Kluyveromyces lactis: one gene and its partners. The protein of the gene in region 1 interacts with the protein of each later gene in a pairwise test. Links are inferred from orthologs where the notes say so. Each region holds a gene or a part of one and is shown in the gene's direction. Other genes may lie near its edges. The genes, in order: SGD1, FAL1 and PLC1.

Evidence for each region.
Region 2: the proteins of SGD1 (region 1) and FAL1 interact in binary tests that used the Saccharomyces cerevisiae proteins (3 or more experiments, as listed by UniProt). The link is inferred for Kluyveromyces lactis from reciprocal best matches to the Saccharomyces cerevisiae genes SGD1 and FAL1.
Region 3: the proteins of SGD1 (region 1) and PLC1 interact in binary tests that used the Saccharomyces cerevisiae proteins (3 or more experiments, as listed by UniProt). The link is inferred for Kluyveromyces lactis from reciprocal best matches to the Saccharomyces cerevisiae genes SGD1 and PLC1.

What each region holds. Positions count from the first base shown.
Region 1 is NC_006038.1:541,515-545,904, forward strand, and holds the start of SGD1 (Sgd1p), read left to right. Parts: upstream 1-1,504; coding exon 1,505-4,390. Other genes in the region: protein-degrading AAA family ATPase MSP1, read right to left, coding at 1-976. UniProt on the Saccharomyces cerevisiae protein: Involved in osmoregulatory glycerol response, probably through its interaction with PLC1 which regulates the expression of GDP1.
Region 2 is NC_006037.1:926,459-929,722, reverse strand, and holds FAL1 (ATP-dependent RNA helicase FAL1), read left to right. Parts: upstream 1-1,467; coding exon 1,468-2,664; downstream 2,665-3,264. Other genes in the region: t-SNARE syntaxin TLG2, read right to left, coding at 66-1,160; ATG31 (Atg31p), read right to left, coding at 2,718-3,149. UniProt on the Saccharomyces cerevisiae protein: ATP-dependent RNA helicase involved in 40S ribosomal subunit biogenesis. Required for the processing and cleavage of 35S pre-rRNA at sites A0, A1, and A2, leading to mature 18S rRNA.
Region 3 is NC_006040.1:60,235-64,645, reverse strand, and holds the start of PLC1 (phosphatidylinositol phospholipase C), read left to right. Parts: upstream 1-1,525; coding exon 1,526-4,411. Other genes in the region: KLLA0_D00660g (uncharacterized protein), read right to left, coding at 1-726. UniProt on the Saccharomyces cerevisiae protein: The production of the second messenger molecules diacylglycerol (DAG) and inositol 1,4,5-trisphosphate (IP3) is mediated by activated phosphatidylinositol-specific phospholipase C enzymes. Required for cell growth, osmoresistance and expression of GPD1.

The sequences.
Region 1 (4,390 bases):
TCTTTCCAGTTTCTGTCAGCTTGCGTTTCTCTTTGATATATTCTCTTGCTGCAGTAAGTGCAGCATCTCTGCATAGTTCTTTTAAATCGGATCCTGACATCTGAGATGTGCATTGTACAATGTAATCCAAATCGAAATCGCGAGGGTCTGACTTTGTATCCTTCAAAAACACTTTTAGTATTTTATGACGTTGTTGTGCGTTAGGCAATGCAACAGGGAATCTTTTAGGTAATCTTCTTAGGAATGCAGAATCGATATCATTGATCCTATTCGTGGCTCCAAGTACCATAACCTTCCCATTGGAGGTAAGACCATCCCAAAGAGTCATAAACTCGGCTTTCAACATAGATGTCACCTCATGATCTGATGAAGCACGCTGTCTTAAGAAGGAGTCAATTTCATCGATGAAAATGATACATGGTTGAATCTTGTTAGCCAAAGAAAACATGGCATCAACGATCTTATTGGATTCACCGTACCATTTGTCCATTATAGAAGACATTCTGATAGATATAAAATTGGCTCCACTTTCGTGTGCTAGTGCTTTTGCTATCATAGTCTTACCACATCCTGGTGGTCCATACAAAAGAACACCCTTTGGCGCCTCCAATAATGCACTTTCGGAGAAAATTTCCGGACTTGTTAGAGGGTAAATGACACTTTCTGTAAGTTCCTCGATAACGTCTTCTAACCCACCAATATCTTCAAAAGAAACATCGATATCTTGAGGCGTAATGACAGAAGCAAGTACGCTACGCTCGTATGCATTCAAACTGACATCATCCAATTCGGGGTTGGCAGCACATAATCTTTGCCATACTAACGATTGTCTCTCCTTCTTTTCTTTCGAGTTACCTGATAAAGGACCTCCTTCAGCCTCTGTTAGTAGTCTATTCACCAAATAGTACACTGAAATTGCAGTTCCGAAGAGAACAGATAAATCGGTAATGGTCTTTAAGTCAATTCTTGGAGCCATTTTTCCTGTAATGTAGCAAGAATGATAAAATCAGTTTTTTCCCTGGTTAATGAATGGCTTCTTATCAGAGAGCTTCTGTATATCAAACGTATTCTCCAATGGATGTAATCGCTGTTCGGTCTCGCCGTGTGACGTTGCCACTTGTTACTTGCAAGTTCAATCACTGTATGTGTTCGATTGTGTTGATTCTTTAATTTCGCAAATAGTTCAAAAAGAAACCTTTAAAAAATGTGGAACTTGAAAAATTTAGACCATGCGATGAGCTTCATGTATGTTTATTGAACAAAACCGCTATCAGCTGGGTTGGATTGGGTTACCAAGGCTTCTTTGTTCCGAAATTTACCAGTTTGATTGAAGACTGCAGCTGATATTCTCGAAAAATCATCATATTTACTTATCCTAGCTCTGTTGCTATCATTGTCAAAATAGTCCAGGGCCAATTCGAAGAGATCGTAACTAATTATTTTACTCCGAGCTCTCTTACTAGATTAGAGCAAACGTCAATTGTTGGGACAACACATTCGAGCTATGAGTAAGAAACATGCTATCAGATTACCGGGAGTGTTGTTGGATGAGCTCAAGGGTCAAAATTATGATGAAGAGGATAAGAGATATCAGTTTCCTAACGTGAAGAAAGTCCAACGCAATGGTAAAAGAAAAGCTCCTTTGAGCAGAAAAGAACAGAGAAGACAAGAACGTGAGAGTAAGAAAATAAAGAGGTCTGGAAATAATATTCAGAAAACGTCTACTTCATTGAATGTTGAATCAGCAAAGAAAGATAGACAAAATGGTTCTACAGCCGTAAAATCATCTCTTAAGAGAGAAAAAGTAAAACTTGGGATTCAAGTCAAGCCAAAACAAGTCAGATTCTCCGAGTTCAATGAGGTGAAAGAGATTTCGTCTGATGATGAGTTATCAAGTGGTGATTTCGATGATTTCGATGAAGACGATCTGAATGAAGAAGAATGGGAACAACTACGTGAATTAGAAGACAGCGACGAAGAAGAAGAGGATGACGGCGGTGACGACGATGACGATGACGATGACGATTACGATGAAGAAGTAGAAGAAGAAGAAGAAGAACCTCTTACGGCTAGAGAAACTATGGCGAAACTCAAAGCTTTAAAGGAAAAAAAGCGACAAGTGAACCCATCTGGAAGTGAAATGGCAGTTGATGATGCCCAAAATTCATCTGAAGATGATGAAATACTTAATGAAGAATACTCAGCCGATGATATGGATGATGATGAAGAGTGCGACAGTGGTTTGGAAGAAATGAGTGTAGAAGAAACAATGGCAGCTTTGAAGGCAATGAAAGATAAAAAGTTACAAGCCAAGTCTTCCAAATCTACCACCACTGGTACTGTAGAGAAAGGCTCTAATAAGAATAACAAAGAGTCTGGAAAGAAAGAACAGTCTAAATCAAAGTCTGAGATTTACAGTCCATTAACACCAGAGGACAGAGCAGCGATTGAAAGAGATGAACTGGATATGAAATATTATGCTGGCAAGTTGGGCTTGAAAAACGGTAAAAAATTGCGTGCCACAGATGAATACGATGCTATTGGAGGTTTACTAGAGGGTCTTGAGTATTTTGAAGACTTTGGAGATGATGAAAGTGGAGAGGAAAATGTAGAAGATGATAGCAATGTCTCAGACGATGGTGAAGATGAACTAATATCGGAAGATGATGAAGATGAAGATGAACAAACGGAAGAGGGACAAATCGAAAACCCATTTTCGTCTGATGATGAGTTATCAAGTGGAGACTTTGATGAATTCGACGAAGACGACTTGGATGAAGATGAATGGCAACAACTTCATGAATTAGAGGGGAACGCTCCATCATCTACACGCACGAAGCAAAAGGAGAACATTTACGCCGCCCCAGTCATCGAAGAGAATAAATCTTACGTACCACCATCCTTGAGAAGAAAACAACTTGAGGAATCTGACTCGGAGACTAACAAGGAATTGAAAAGAAAAGTTAAATCAGCTCTGAATAAACTATCAGATTCAAACAGTGCTATAATTGTTACCTCCTTGAACGAGCTCTATGATAACTATGCAAGACAATACGTCAATGATGCGATTAACAATCAGATGATCGAGGTTGTTGCACAGAAGAATAAATTATTGGACACTTTTATCATGAATTATGCTGGTGTAGCTTTCAGTATATGGAAGCTAAGGGGAACTGAAGCCGGTGCTTCCTTTATTCAAGCATTGGTCCAGAAATTCTTAGAGATTTATAGTGAACAGATACAGTCGGCTAGAAATTCAAAATCAGACGAGCCAATAATGCTGTCTAAGGAAACGACTAATTTGCTGACTTTGCTGGGCTATTCCTACAACTTCGGGCTAGTTTCCAGCAGACTGATATATGATATCATCAAGCTATTAATTCAAGAACCCAATGAATATACAACCGAACTTCTGTTAAGGATCATCTCTGTTTGCGGCCCTTTGATACGTGGTGATGATCCCAGAGCTCTAAAGGATATAATCACGGAACTATTGGCCAACGTTAAACAGATGAAGCAAACTCCAAGGCTAAACTTTTTGTTGGAAACTCTGTCCGATTTAAAGAATAACAGGTTAAAGCCTTCAGTTCTTGCTGCCAATCATCAGACTTTAAAAAAGGGAATTTTGGGATCACTTCGCATCTCAACTTCGGCATCTTCGGAGCCTTTGCTGGCTTCTCTAGAAGATATAAAAAACGTGGATTCTAAAGGTAAGTGGTGGTTAATTGGAGCATCATGGAAGGGTAATCAAGAAACTGCTTTCGATGAGGCTAATGTCAAAGAAGACAGAACGATTGCTAATCAAACAAATATAAAATTGGATGATGATTTACTCTCTGAAATGATTGATTGGAATGAGATAGCGAAACAACAGAGGATGAACACTGATGTGAGAAGAGCTATATTCGTTAGCATAATGTCTGCAGAGGATTATTTGGATGCATTCGCTAAGATAGAAAAGCTGAACTTGAAGAGTAAACAGAGTCTTGATATTTCACGGGTGCTGCTACATTGCTTGTCAAACGATGGCACATCGTCCGGATACAATCCATATTATTCATTATTAGCAGGAAAACTCTCAGAGCATAACCACAAACTTTTAAAGTCTTTCCAGTTTTTATTCTGGGAAATTGTGAAGAAGTTCGAGCTTGAGACACATTCAGATGATGAGGAAGATACCTTGTTCAGCAATGAAGACACTGTTGATGAAGACACTAGATTACAAAGATTGGCTAAGCAAGGCCGATTCTTTGGCCATTTAATAGCAGAAGGTCACTTGAAACTTGATGCTTTCAAGCATGTTCCGTTAATGGCAGGACTCAACTCAGATGGAATAATCTTCTTTGATATTTTGCTTTTCCAGTTGTTCCTTTCCGAAGGTAAGGCAGCC
Region 2 (3,264 bases), on another chromosome or scaffold:
AATTTGTTTTCGAAGTTCGATGCAGTTTCTCCATCATAAGCAAGTTCATTAATATTTGACCATTTTTATTCTACATTACTTTCTGGATCCAGCAACGGGTCTCCATTAGGAGAATTGACCTCCACTTGTGATCCAGGAGGTTTGTGAGATTTTGAAGGAGCTGATTCTCGTATAGTATGGTGATGAGGTTTCAGCATGACAAGGAGGAATAACGCTAGAACGACCAAAGATAGAAATAGAATAATTTTACATTTTTGACTCCGTTTTTGGTAGTGCGTTGCCTTGTCTAACTCCTTTTGGGCCTGCTTTAATTCAATAACCGTGTTTTCTAAGTTATAATCGATCCTATCGACCACTGTACCTTGATCTATGATCAAAGACTGCATTTCCCTGAAAATAGTACTAACTTCGAGTACACCTTTCGCTAACTGTGTAATTTCCTCATCTCTTTGTTGCAAAAATTGCTGATTGTTATCCTGTAACTTCTGATTCTGTTTTTGTAAAGTCTGCTTTGAATATGAGTCGATGTTATTGACTTCATCTCCTTCAACTTCTTCCTCCAACAACATCAATGTATCGTTACTTGATTTCGTAGTGGGTAGTGGTTTGAAATCATCTTTATTCAAAAACTTCAAATGATTATTCTGTAATATTCTGAACTTCTGCGATTTGTCTTGCACTTTCAAAGCGTAGTTCTTTTCTAGGTTATCCAATATCCTTAACTCGTCCTTGCTTAGCTGCTTACCATTCGAATATTGAGAATCCTTAATTCTCGTAAGAGTCTTGATAACACCAAAACATTCTTGGAATCTCTTAATTACCTGGAAACTTATCTGCTCAATCTCCTCCTCATCCTGCTTATTGTCCTGGAATCCTGGTAAAGAGTTCTTTTGATATAGTTTCGTCAACTGTAGCAACAATTGATCTACTGCAGATAACGACTCATCCACTTGGAACGTTAAATCGAAAAATTTTGGCGGTAATTGACGGGAGAAATCATCCATAGCAACCATATCTTCATCATTGTTACCATCGTCACTACCAATGAATGGCTGGTTCTCCAAATCTTTATTCGATCGTAGATGCTTGGTACTCGAAAGCCTCTGATGGGGGAAAGTTCTCCTATAGGATAAAAACAAATTAGTTCTATCACGAAACATGGTGCAGTTCAAAAGCAAACAAGGGAAGAAAGCACGCACTACCACTAATCTGATCTAAATAATCACTAGATCGAGCCACTCGACCAGTTGTTCTGCAGTTATTTACATACACTTGTAATTTGACACCTTAAAGTGTTGTTGAACTTTCGGTTCTCAGCTTAAAACCTTTAAAAAATGGAAAATTTGGCAAGCACAACGATAAGATGAGATGCGATGAGATGCATTGAAATAGAGGCTGCAACGGTAGGTCCAAGTGAAGTGTAACCGGGAGTTACTGTTGTTAAGAAAGGGAATCATCACATCAACAATGTCGTTCAACAGAGATGATGACTCGAAGTTGAAGTTTAAGACTTCAAAGAAGCTCAAGGTATCTGCCACTTTTGAGTCGATGAACTTGAAACCGGATTTGTTACGAGGCATATATTTTTACGGCTTTGAATATCCATCATCCATTCAGTCTAGAGCCATTTCTCAGATTATCTCAGGAAAAGATGTGATTGCCCAGGCACAGTCTGGTACCGGTAAGACGGCCACATTTACCATTGGATTATTACAAGCAATTGATTCTAAGAGCAAAGAGTTACAAGCATTGGTCTTATCACCAACAAGAGAACTAGCGAGTCAAAGTGAATCTGTGATATCTAACCTAGGAGACTATTTGAACGTTACAGCACATGCGTGCACAGGAGGTAAGGCCTTACAACAAGATATCAAGAAAGTATCGAAAAATTGTCAAGTGGTCAGTGGTACACCGGGCCGTGTACTAGATATGATCAAGAGACAAGTATTGAACGTTAGAAACTGTAAGATCTTAGTTCTCGATGAAGCAGATGAACTACTCGGAGAAACTTTGGGGTTTAAACAACAAATCTACGACATTTTCACCAAGTTACCACCGACGATTCAAGTCGTGGTGGTAAGTGCTACAATGAGTAAAGATATATTAGAGATCACCAAGAAGTTCATGAGTGACCCGGTGAAGATATTGGTTAAGCGGGATGAGATATCCTTGGACGTGATAAAGCAATATTATGTGGATGTAGAAAAGGAAGAATGGAAGTTTGATACACTCTGTGATCTATACGATTCGTTAACGATAACACAATGTGTGATATTCTGTAATACAAGGAAAAAAGTGGATTGGTTATCCAGGAAGTTGACACAGACGAATTTCTCTGTGTCCTCAATGCACGGTGACATGAAACAGGAAGAACGTGATCAAGTGATGAATGATTTCAGGAGTGGAAAAGCCAGGGTGCTAATATCGACAGACGTGTGGGCTCGTGGTATCGATGTCCAGCAGATCTCATTGGTGATAAACTACGATATACCAGATAATCTAGAGAACTATATCCATCGTATTGGTAGATCCGGACGGTTTGGACGTAAAGGTGTTGCAATAAATTTCATCACGAAGGAGGAAAGACCCAAATTGAAAGAGATCGAATCGCACTATAGAATTAAGATCAAACCAACTCCTGCAAATTTAGAAGAGTTGTCGTGAGACTATGGGATATATATATATATATGTATGTATAGATATACATATGCTACAATTTACGGAGCTATGGAATCGAGTAGTTTCCGTATCTGAGCGTTTCGCTCATGGTACAGCTTAGACAGGTTATCTAAACCAGAAATATCAGTATTCTGACCCAAATCTGCACTTAATTCGTTCATGACAGTGAGTGATATGCAATTATCTCTTGGGTTTTGATCAAAAGCTAGTAACTGCCACCGTTCGCTAAGCATTTCTACATTGTTCACCGTGCCAGACGGCTCACTATCTATAATGATGACATTTTCGTAATCTAGTTGATCTTCGTCGTGCTGGCTCGGATCATCATCTTCGAATATGAAGCTGATATTATTTAGGAACCAAGTATTCTCATCCACAGTATACGAATTCTGTTTCTGTCCGAGTAATCCCAGATTGCTTGCATTAGTAGCAGCATTAGCGTTTTTAACTAGAAGTACCGGACTTTCCATTGCTATTGGGAGTTGTGAGAGCACATATCAGAATAAATAAATTATTAAATAAAAGAACAAGTAACTCTAAAGATTAGTGACTGAATGTTGTATTTAAGTCGATGATGAATTGAAT
Region 3 (4,411 bases), on another chromosome or scaffold:
ATCACAATTCTTTCCAGATGTGAAAGGCGCAATTCCCACCATATATGTTAATCTATCTTCACCAAGTGCATCAAGGTTCAACCAGTAAGAAAAGCCATTGCAACTTGTCTTGGTTGAGCCACGCTTAAGTGCGCCAGCTATATAGTTACAAACTGTCGCCATGTTCCGCCCTAATTTAATGAAGCTAGTTGTATTTATCCAAAAGTGTTCTCTTAACCATGCCTTTAAATTACCTCTTCTTTCGTACATCTTAATAAGGCTATCATAATGGTTAAACCACCATCCGTCTGAACATTGTTCATTACGTTTGGAGATATAACTATCATCATAAGATTTTCTAATTGGAGTACTATTAAAGAATTCATTTAACTTGTCATCAAGAACTACACAGTCGAGGCCCAATGCAGCAATGACGCTGCTAACATCTGATATATTATTTCTAATATGATAGTTCATAGTCTCACCTATCTTCATAGGTTCAATTGATTTAGGTAACATGTTTACTAAATTAACATACGTGGCAACGCCGTAATTGCCAATCATTGAATAGTTTAAAGATGAGTTATCGCGTAATATGTTGTATTTATCCCGAACATCAGTAGGGAGATTGTATGAGACACGGAAGTCATTGTGGTCTTCATAGAATGTATATTGAGGGACTGCGGTTGCAGTAGCAAGAGTAGCTAAAATAAGCAGTGCATAATAGTAAGCGAGAGTGAGTGACATGTCATTTTTTATGGGCGTACGTTTAACTTTGTAGATGACAACATATCTTCACTTCCTTTTGATGGAAGGGTTTATTACCAGGTCGGCAAATATGTAGAACAGTACTTATAGCGCATATGTTGAACTAGTGAATCTTGTCACGGAGTATTGTCCAGATACATATTTGAATTGGTGATGGCTTCTGAAAGAGACCAAATATATCAATCTATGTGTTAAAGGACATAACTGAGGTTCATGTCGTATCGCATAGAATCGGCTACTTCATTTCCCAGGAACATCCACAGGAAAGCAGTAGCCTCGGCAGGGAACACCAAGTGCATGCATAATTGATATATATATTCCAGAATATTCAAAATAATCATGCTGCTCATTAAATTAATCACGTGATCATGAGAAGTGCTTCAATTCGATGCGCCAGTGCATGAGACGGGATCTCGTATTTCTTGAACTTATAGATGGAGCTCCGCACGTGATCGGGATACTATTGCATAAGGGAGCTCTATGGTTGAAAGATACATTCAAAGTGTATCGATCGACTGTATTCACGTGAATTACGTTTTGAAATCCTAGTTGATCGCAAGACATAACCTGTTCTTCTTTTCCTCCTGTTACCTGGCATCATTTATTTCTGTGTCCTGTTTTCCTTTCAATATCGAATAAATCATAACCGTGACAAAACAGCTTTCGACTCTCTTATGTACAGGATCTGAACTCTGGGGTAAAATAAGCATACTGCTTTCAAGGTACCGTTTAAGAAGTGCTACAACATCTTGATTGCTACCACATACTCGGATACACAATGGATCCGTTTATGGTTTCCTGCTATATGATGACAAGTCAGAAACGTCTCGTTGAACCCTCGATGAGGCTTGAGTTCAACGATGTGGATGATGAACATCAGGCTATTATGCCACAAAGCATTTTGAGGAGCCTTTCTTTGGAAGATGGGTCCAATAGTGATATGAGCTCGAAGAGTACTGCTCCCTCCTCGGGAAGTGAGGAATCCTTTGTGTATGATCATATATACAAGGGCATCAAGGGCTTTCTTTCTAGAAGACCTAGTTTTAATGGGCATGGAAATTCTAATAATAACCCGAACAAAAATAAGACGTCCCAACTTGGTGGCCCTCTCACATATGCATTGTCGAGCAACCTCAGGTTAGAGTCAACGGATTCTGGGTTTGGGTCCTTCTCGGCAGATCCATTGGACTTGCCTCTACTTAAGGTGACACGACGGAAACGTGTTCGGTACACCTTCCATATAGACCAGAATACAATAAGTTGGAATAACGGAAAAAAGCTGATATACGTTGATACCATCAAAGATATACGGAGTGGTGATATGGCTACCAATTATATGGATATGTACAATGTTCCTTGTCCTTCACGGGACCTTTGGTGTACTATCATCTATTCAGTGAACAAAAACAGATTAAAGGCTTTACATGTTATTGCGGAGGACGCTGCAGTATTCAAATCTTTTTATGAAACGACAGTAAATTTGGTGAATTCTAGGAGGAAACTAATGGAAGATATTGCAGTTCCAAACAATGAACAATTCGCCAATATTCATTGGCAGACCAGTGTTTCCACAAAGAAAGAAGACCAGGACAAAGATACGTTAAGTTTCGCGGATGTGAAGAGACTTTGCAACCGATATCATATCTACTGTTCTGATAACTACCTTTACGCACTTTTCATTAAAGCGGACACTAACAATAACAGTTTGCTTAATTTCCCCGAATTCCAAGATTTTGTCAAGTACTTAAAAGCTAGGCCGGAGATTGAAATAATCTGGAATCAAATGAAAAATAAGGATACTAAGGTGGTTGACTTTCAAAGCTTTTACCAGTTCATATGTGACGTTCAAGGTGAAGTAATATCACAGACTAATGCTTATAAGATTTTCAAAAAGTATTGCACCGCTGATGAACTTTTAGATGTTGAGGGTTTATTAAAATTCTTAACAAAACAACCGTTCCTACAATTATTCGAAGAAGATTATTCTAGACCGCTAAACGAATATTTCATATCATCATCTCATAACACTTATCTTATGGGGAAGCAAGTGGTGGACGAGGTAAGTGTCGAAGCTTATACTCGTGCTTTGCAACAAGGATGCCGTTGTATCGAAATAGACATATGGCAAGGAGATCATGGGCCTGTGGTATGCCATGGTCTTTTCACACAGTCAATCCCCTTAGAAGATGTTGTTAAAACGATACGAAAATATGCGTTTATCACTTCACCTTATCCGCTTATTGTATCTCTAGAGATCCACTGTAAGAAGGATTACCAATTAATGATAACGAAAATTATGAAGGAAATTTTGGGAGATCTTATATTCGTAATTCCACCAAACACTTCACTATTATCACCAGAGCAGCTGAAAAATCGCATTATATTGAAAAGTAAGAAGACGCATGCTGTAGAGTCTGAAATTATAAGTGGATCAACTTCATCCTATACGTCTTCTTCCTCTCATGAATCACTTTCTGAAACAAATGACATGCGGTTAATCAAGAAGCGGGGCTTACAAAAAAGTACTACCAGTAGCACTTCTCCAAATACGACAACAGTTCCAGTGACAACAAAGAGAAACAACAAATCGTTATTGTTATCAACAAAGATCATGATATCAGACAAGGTTCATGAAATATCTGGGATTCACGGAGTAAGATTCAGAAACTTTTCGTTGCCTGAATCAAAAACCACTACGCATTGCTTCTCACTAAGTGAGAAGAAGTTTATCAATCTTGACAAAGATGAAACTCAAAAACTCGCTATCAACAAGCATAACCGCAGACATTTAATGAGAATCTATCCGCACATGTTGCGGTACAAATCCTCCAATTTCAACCCAATACGATTTTGGAAAGAAGGAGTACAAATGGTCGCAACAAACTGGCAGACGTATGACCTGGGACAACAATTGAACCATGCAATGTTCCAAGTTTCACTAGATAGAAATTCCATCTGGCATTCTGGGTATGTTTTGAAGCCCGCTCACTTGCGAAAAGAGATACATAAAATGAAGGACATTCCAGTAATTATGGAAAGGCTCAAACGGGAGAAGATTCATATCCATTTGGACGTAATTTCTGGCCAGATGTTATCCTTACAAAACTGCAAGATACTAGCACCATTCGTAGAAATCGAACTCATTACTGACAATACCATGGAATCACTTCACCTTACCAACTGCTTGCAGCCAATGGGGTATACTTCCAATAACTCTACCCATGCTACCGGAATTACTAGCATGAGTAATGCTTCAAATGGTACTTTTGCTAACATTACTAGTACCTCAACCAAGCGCGTTGATAGCAACGGCAGCAGCGGTAAGACTGAACCACTTTGTGAAAGTAATGGAACCACTGTTATTTCAGGTTTGTCCGCGGAAGACGGAATACTCAGTACTCCATCTGCTCCTCCAGCAGTATCTGTACCTGTCCTTAGTTCACCGCAACTATTTTCGACAAAATGCTTCCGTGATAACGGCTTCAGTCCCGTGTGGAATGCGTCGTTCGAGTGTACACTTACAAACACTACGTTCAACTTCGTGCGGTTTACAGTCAAGAACTCCACGCAAACTATCGCAACAACGTGTGTACGGTTGAATTATTTGAAGCAAGGGTATAGGCACTTACCGTTGTACAACATAAAAGGGGAGAAGTTCATATTC